2 linked regions of the Macaca mulatta genome follow. The protein of the gene in region 1 purifies or fractionates together with the protein of each later gene. This does not show direct contact. Links are inferred from orthologs where the notes say so. Each region holds a gene or a part of one and is shown in the gene's direction. Other genes may lie near its edges. The genes, in order: BTBD1 and COPS5.

The links.
Region 2: the proteins of BTBD1 (region 1) and COPS5 purify together in Homo sapiens (affinity purification with mass spectrometry; 3 studies listed by BioGRID and IntAct, counting the BioPlex papers as one, with this or other methods). This does not show direct contact. The link is inferred for Macaca mulatta from reciprocal best matches to the Homo sapiens genes BTBD1 and COPS5.

What each region holds. Positions count from the first base shown.
Region 1 is NC_133412.1:73,672,106-73,676,429, forward strand, and holds the start of BTBD1 (BTB/POZ domain-containing protein 1), read left to right. Parts: upstream 1-1,250; 5' UTR 1,251-1,321; coding exon 1,322-1,719; intron 1,720-4,324.
Region 2 is NC_133413.1:77,749,518-77,753,334, reverse strand, and holds part of COPS5 (COP9 signalosome complex subunit 5), read left to right. Parts: coding exon 1-27; intron 28-1,163; coding exon 1,164-1,292; intron 1,293-1,931; coding exon 1,932-1,997; intron 1,998-2,715; coding exon 2,716-2,801; intron 2,802-3,817. UniProt on the Homo sapiens protein: Probable protease subunit of the COP9 signalosome complex (CSN), a complex involved in various cellular and developmental processes.

The sequences.
Region 1 (4,324 bases):
GAGGAGAATCGCTTGAGCCCGGGAGGCGGACTTCGTGCCACTGCACTCCAGCCTTAGCAACAGAGCGAGCCTCCGTGTCAAAAAAGAAAATTATGTATAGATGATTTGATGATATGGTTAATTTTGTTATCACGATGTTTTATGTGATAATGGTATCATTAGTAGCATGATGTCCCCTTGTCTTGAGGAATTGCCGGCTGGCATTGGGGAAGGGGTTGTTGCATCCATTATTTCAGTCCCTACTGCTTTAAGTCTCTTCCCGAGCACGTTCCTCTCCCAAAGAAGTTACCATTCTAAATGCCTAACAGCTGGAAGTCCCCTCTGGTGGTTTCACAAGTGGAGTGATTTTACAGGAGAAACCCAGGTTTGGAGTTTACTATTTAGTTGAGGCATTTGTAATCTGCAAGGCTCTTCCTGCAAAGAGTAGGTGTTTCCAACTATACGTGCCTGGTCAATAACTATTTCTTGGGTTTTCTATGTTCTGCCTTTAACAGCTGACTTAACTCAGGGCCTGCCTCACTGAAGGGGGGAGAAGGCAGGCCTCTGTCCCCCAATCATGATGATCCGCATTGTAAATACTTACTGGGAAGGGATAGTACAGCCTTTTCCATTGTGTGTGTGTTTTTTAATTTTTAATTTTTTAAATTTCAAGCTTAAGCAGTGGTTTGTTCAGTGCAAGGACTGAAAACAAGCGCTAGAAGGGAAGGTGGGTAAGTACTAGGGGTTTCAAGTACAGGGATAGAAACAGTAAAAGGAAATGTCTCTTAAGCCTGGAGCACCGAACCAAAGGGGCAATTAGAAGGGAAAGGGACCTGCGGACCTGGGGAGAGAGGTCACTGGGGTTCTAAGCCTTCCACCTCTGCTCCCAGAATTTCCACGGGTTTCGCGGCCCCTCATCCCCAGGCAGGAGTGCGAGCCGCCTGCAGATCTGCTATGCATCTTAAAATTGCAAATTCTCAGGCCCTACCCCAGACCTACTGAGTCAGAATACCCAGAGGATTGAGCCAGGGGGTGGGTGCCCGCAGGCCCGGCAGCACCCAGCCTGCAGAAGCTCCACCTCCGAGAGCGCTGGACTAGGACGAGCTCCCCACCCCCCTGCCCTTGGGCTTCCTCGAGTCCGTCCAGTCACACCTCCCGCTGCCGCGCACAGCGGCAACCCCGGCGTGCGGGGGCGCGCGCGGTCAGGGAGGAGCCTGCGGAGGCGCAAGGCCCCCGGAAGCGCCTTTCCCGGAAGGCAGGGAGGCGGTGCTGGCCTCCGGAGGCGGTCTCGGCGATGGCGGTGGAGTTCTGTTCCTAGCCTGGGCAACCGCGCAGCTGGAGGATGGCCTCGCTCGGGCCTGCCGCAGCTGGGGAGCAGGCGTCGGGGGCTGAGGCGGAGCCGGGCCCCGCGGGGCCGCCGCCGCCTTCACCGTCCTCTCTGGGGCCCCTGCTCCCTCTGCAGCGGGAACCTCTTTACAACTGGCAGGCGACCAAGGCGTCGCTGAAGGAGCGGTTTGCTTTCCTCTTCAACTCAGAACTGCTAAGCGATGTGCGCTTCGTACTGGGCAAGGGCCGCGGCACCGCCGCCGCCGGGGGCCCGCAGCGCATCCCCGCCCACCGCTTCGTGCTGGCAGCCGGCAGCGCTGTCTTCGACGCCATGTTCAACGGCGGCATGGCCACCACGTCGGCCGAGATCGAGCTGCCGGACGTGGAGCCCGCCGCCTTCCTGGCGCTGCTGAGGTGAGCGGCGGCGCGGGCCGGGCTAGGGGGCCCCCGGGGCCCGGCCCGCCTTGACTCCCGGATGACCTTGGGCTGGGCTCCTCTGACCCGCCCGGGGCCTCAGTTTCCTCCGGAGCCGTTGATGCTCTGGAGGGTCGAAATCGAAATCTGTGAGCCGGGACGGCTCAGTCGCCAACTAAACGTTCATGTCTTCATCCAGCAAGCGTACGTTTTACCGTTGAAAGGCGCTTCGCATTCCAATTGTGGATTGTCGCTCAGGATTCAGAATTAGACAGGTGGCAAGGATAGAGGGACAGATCAGGTTGTCCCGATTGCTCATTTGCGATGTTTTATGTTTTTGTCTGGGGGAAGGGAGTAGTTGAAAAATCTTGCAGGACTGATGTTTTGGGGTTATTGTCACCCCCCTTCCCTCCGCGTTTTTTGAAAGCGGCCCAGGCTGGAGTGCTGTAGCGCGATCATGGCTCGCTGCAGCCTCGACCTCTCCGGGCTGTGATCCTCCGACCTCAGCCTCCCGAGTAGTTGGGACTACAGGCACGCGCCACCACGCCCGGCTAATTTTTTTTTTTTTGGTAGAGAGAGGGTTTCACTATGTTGCCCAGGCTAGTCTCCTGGGGTCAAGCGATCCGCCCACTCGGTCTCCCAAAGTGCTGGAATTACAGGCGTGAAACCACCGGGCCTGGCCACTGTTTTGTTTTTCATTAACGTATTAGTTGTCAAGACCCAGGAAAGTAAATACCAAAACAGATAAGTGAGGCTGTACCTGTTTCCTGTTTCTACACACAAGGTCACATTTGCTTATAAATGCATCCCTCCCTTGATGTTAGAATTTGCTTGTTGGTTATTTGAGGATAGTAGATTGACATCTAATGGAAAGATGTGATTGTTTGGCATTATTAGCTTTTAATCACAGCCATCCTGTTAAGGAGGCATAAGAATTGTTTACCCCAATTTTACAAATGGGACTGAGGCCGAGAAGAGTCAAGTATCTTGCCCAAGGTAACAAACAGCTAACTCACACTGAAGACCATGTCTGTTTCATTATACCAAGATGGTTTTAAATAGCTGACTGAGTAGAACGTGTTGTTATTAAAGTGGCAGAGTCTTGGGTAGTACTGAAGCAAAAACAGGCAGGTCAGTGGGGTAGAATTAGATACAAAGGTTCACACTGAATCAGAATCAAACAAGGAAATGAATGTAAAGTTCACACAACTAGAAACAAATACTAAGATTCCATTAACAAATGGATAAGGAACAGGATAGATAACTTAGACAAAGAAAAAATACAACTAATTAACGAATGTTTTACCTGGCTGGTAATTAGGAAGTGCAAATTAAAAGACAGTGGTATTTTGGCCGTGCGCGGTGGCTCAAGCCTGTAATCCCACCACTTTGGGAGGCCGAGACGGGCGGATCACAAGGTCAGGTGATCGAGACCATCCTGGCTAACCCGGTGAAACCCCCTCTCTACTAAAAAATACAAAAAACTAGTCGGGCGAGGTGGCAGGCGCCTGTAGTCCCAGCTATTCGGGAGGCTGAGGCAGGAGAATGGCTTAAACCCGAAAGGCGGAGCTTACAGTGAGCTGAGATCTGGCCACTGCACTCCAGTTTGGGCGACAGAGCGAGACTCCCTCTAAAAAAAAAAAAGAATAAATAAATAAATAAATAAATAAATAAATAAAAGACAGTGGTATTTTTTCCTTCCATTAATCCCACCAAAAAATTTAAAGGTAACATCTGAACAGCGTTATCTGACAAAGATAGTGGTAAAAACCCTTTTGGAAAACAGTTTGGTGCTATAGATTTTCTTTCCACATGTAAGAAGCATTCAAGTACTGAAAAAAAGTTGCGTACAAAAATATTTACAACTTTATTTATAGTAGTGAGGAAGTAGTCAGCTGTAGGGAATGGTTAAACAGTGATAGGTTCACTTGATGAAATATAATGTGGTCACTAAATATGATGGATAGCACTTGAAACTGCACCATGATTACAACGTGAAAAGAAATGGACAAACATATACCTAGAGACAAGGATAAAAGGAAACATACCAAAATGCTAAGCAAAGGCACCTGGAGTAGTAAGATGAAAGTACCTTTTTTTCTTCTTTTCTCTTTGTTGCTGATATTTTCTGTAATTTAGTTCAATTACATTTATAAAGGAGGGGGAACCTTAAAAGCTAAAATCCAGGTCATTTTAAAGTTCACCAGGAGGATTGGGTATAGTTCATTTGGATTTTCTAGACCAGAAGTAGTTTTCAAAATGATCTGTGGGCCATCTGCATTATAATCTTCTGGGGTGCTTATGAAATGTGTAGATCCCGTCCTCATTATATACCTTAATATTTGGAGGCGAGACCTTGGTAGCATTTTTTACACTCTCCCTAAGTGATACTTACACAAACTAAATTTGAGAATCACAAATCTAAAGCTATTTTGGGGCAATTTTTTATTTTGAAAAAATATTGACTTTACTAGTATAAGAATGTAGAGGAAAAAATGCATATTTTTGTATTTTCACTGAAGCTGCTATTAGTCCTTTCCCATCAATAGAAAATAAGTTCCCATCAATAGAAAATAAGTTTGAAATGTGGGACAGTGCAATTTGT
Region 2 (3,817 bases), on another chromosome or scaffold:
GCTGCATACATAGAAAATGCCAAACAGGTAAAAATGTTGTTTCTTATAGTTTAGTAAGTGCAAGTTAGAGTCTCAAGGTGACTTTTGAGTTTCTAGACTTAAAATTATCCCCTTTATAGGAAATGTTATATTTAAATTTTAATGATTTATATGTAAAATGTACGAGATTAAAAGCCTGATAAGATTTATAGCATGGTTTTTTGTTTTTGTTTTTTGTGTTTTTTTTTTTCAAGACAGGGACTCGCTCTGTTGCCCAGGCTAGAGTGCAGTGGCGTGATCTTGGCTCACTGCAACCTCCACCTCCTGGGCTCAAGCAATTCTCCCTCCTCAGCCTCCTGAGTAGCTGGGACTACAGGCGTGCACCAGTAGGCCTGGATAATTTTTGTATTTTTAGTAGAGATGGGTTTTGCCGTGTTGGCCTGACTGGTCTCAAACTCCTGACTTCAAGTGATCTGCCCACCTTGGCCTACCAAAGTGCTGGGATTACAGACATGAGCCACCATGCCCTTCCATAATTTTTGTATTTTTAGTAGAGACAGGTTTTCTCTGTGTTGGCCAGGACAGGAGTGTTGGCCACTCCTGTCCTCAAGTGATCCACCCACCTCAGCCTCCCAAAGTGCTGGGATTATAGGCATGAGCCACTGCACCCGGTCTATGGCATGGATTTTATTTTTTTTTAAATAAACTCTCACACTTATTACCAGATATGTGTTTAAAATAAAAAATTTGGAAACAATCTAACTCAGTTACTGAGTATAAAACTGGCTAAATAAATTATGGTATATTCCATCAGTGGACTGCCAGGCAGCCTTTAAAAGAAAAAAAGAAAAAAAGGTAACCGTCATGTATATTGATGACTTATGTGAAGCAAACTCCAAAGCAGTTTATTGAGTGAAAAAGCAAAGTGTAAAACATTATTATTGTTACGTGGTATGCTACTGTGTGTGTTTTTATCAATCTATATATATGCAAAGAATATGTATTCTGTATACAAAGAATATCTCTAAGGGTAAGCAATTGCCTATAGATTTCACATCTGGGCTGATAAAACTGGGTAATTGAGGAGAAAGAGATGGGAAGGAGACTGGTTACCTTTATTGTACTGGTACCTTATAAATTAATTAAAGAGTAATCTTAAACTTTTTTGCCCCTTCATTTGTTAGGTTGGCCGCCTTGAAAATGCAATCGGGTGGTATCATAGCCATCCTGGCTATGGCTGCTGGCTTTCTGGGATTGATGTTAGTACTCAGATGCTCAATCAGCAGTTCCAGGAACCATTTGTAGCAGTGGTGGTAAGAATTTTAAAACTAGTTTAATTAAGTTCTTTATGAAGATTTGCTGAAGCAAGTATAATGAGAAATAATAACAGTGTAGTAAAGAGAAATTGCTCTGGTGTCAGTCTGCCTAGGTTTCAATGTGAATTCCATCTCCTAGAAGCTGAGACTTTGAGCAAGTGTTTTTAACCACTGTGTATCTCACTTCCCCCCTCTATAAAATGTGGATAGTCATAGCATCTATGTCTCAGTGCCAGCTCATCATAGGCATTCAATCAGTGTTGACTGATCTGAGATAAGCAGGAATTGCTAGAGCAGCTCTTATTATGTTCAGGGTGTTTTAAGTGCAATCCAGTTTTATGAGGAAGGTAGGAATTATTCATCTCTTAAAAGGAAAAAAGAAAACTTTAAAAAGAGATGAGCAAACCTTCAAATGATATTCTTAAATATTATAATAATTCTAATCTCTAAGTTAGCTGTGAGACACTTATATTACCCTCTTACTGAACTTCTTTGGTTTTTTGGTTTGTTTATTCTTATTTGGTTATTGTGTATGTATATAGTGTTATATGTATGTATACATTTCTAGGTTAATAATGTTTCAATAAAAGGCATACAGTTTTATATCAGTAAATATTAAATATATCTTTCTTATAGATTGATCCAACAAGAACAATATCTGCAGGGAAAGTGAATCTTGGCGCCTTTAGGACATACCCAAAGGTAACTTTTTTTTTTTTTTAAGAGATAGATAGAGTCTCACTGTGTTACCTAGGCTGGAGTACAGTGGCTATTCACAGGCATGATCATAGTGTACTACAGCCTTCATCTCCTAGGCTCAAGCCAACTCAGCCTCCCAAGTAGATGGGACTGTAGGAATGCTTAGTAATTTTTAAAATTATAAGTCCTTACATGTTTTAAATTCCAAATATTTGACTTATTATTAAAGACATTAGCAATATCTCTTTTTGTTAAAACAATTTAATAATATTTACAAAATAGTAAACTACCACAAGCTGTCCCTAGCAAAGGGTAATACATTTATGTTATATATTGTTAATTTTACTGGGAAAGCAGTCTTTAATAACCATCTGTGTGCCTGTGGCATTCTGACAGGTACTAGAGAAAAAACGAGCTAAATCTATAGGTCTGTTTCCTTCCCTGGCAGGAGCCTGCAATCTAAAATAGTTAATTAGAACAAAAGTACATCACCTAAGGAGAAGAAAAATAAATCTGTAAGCAAAATCCAGCCTATAGCCACCAAACAGGGTAGGGGGAAAGTAGAAACAGTATTTTTTTTTTTATTATTAGAATGCTCATGTTAAGTATTTGCCTCCCAAAATTAATAATCCTGTAATTAGAAAGCTGCATAGAAAACATGATGTTTTTCTCGTTTATATATATATATTTTTAATCTTCTGTTTGCCTCATTTTTGTTTAGGGCTACAAACCTCCTGATGAAGGACCTTCTGAGTACCAGACTATCCCACTTAATAAAATAGAAGATTTTGGTGTACACTGCAAACAGTAAGTAATTTAAAAAGATATCTGGGCCAGGCATGGTGACTCACACCTATAATCCCAGCACTTTGGGAAGCCAAAGTGAGAGAATTGCTTGAGGACAGGAATTCAACACTAGCCTGGGCAACATAGTGAGACCCCATCTCTACAAAACATGTTATAAAAGTTAGCCAGATGAGGTGGCACAGTCCTATAGTCCCAGCACTCAGGAGGCTGAAAGAAACCATAGATATCAACCAGTCCAAGGCCCTTTTTTACAGATGAGAAAAAAAGCACAAAATACATTTCATGATAGCTTTTACAATAATAGTATATGAATTTAGGTGAATGTTTGCATTTTTTAATTTTTTTTTTTTGCATTTTTTATTAATGTTTCAAACTAGCATGTCATTTGCCTTTTACACAACCTAAACATTTTTTCAATGTACAAGATACTTGGCCTATATAAAATTATGACAAGATAAAGATGGGTTCAGGGCCAGCTGACACTAGCATGTCTGCAGCCCTCAAAATATATAATTTCTACTGAACAAAGATTCTTTCTAATCTTTGAAAGATTTGAAAGATTAAAGAAGCCATATTAAAAAGTTAAAGTTATAAAGTATAAGAATTCTTACTAAAAACCACTGTATTACATACCTTCCCCCACGACCCACAAGACATAGTCTTGCTCTGTTGCCCATGCTGGAGTGCAGTAGCATGATCTTGGCTTACTGCAACCTCCACCACCTGGGTCCAAGCAATTCTCTTGCCTCAACATCCCAAGTAGCTGGGATTACAGGCGCATGCCACCACACCCAGCTAATTTTTGTATTTTTAGTAGAAACAGGGTTTCACCATGTCGGCCAGGCTGGTCTCAAACTCCTTACCTCGTGATCCACCTGCCTTGGCCTCCCAAAGTGCTGGGATTACAGGTGTGAGCCATCATGCCCAGCCTACATACTTTTTTTAATGGTGAATTTTATGATGTATGAATTATATCTTAAATTTTTTTAATGTTAAAGAAGTCAATGGGGACAGTT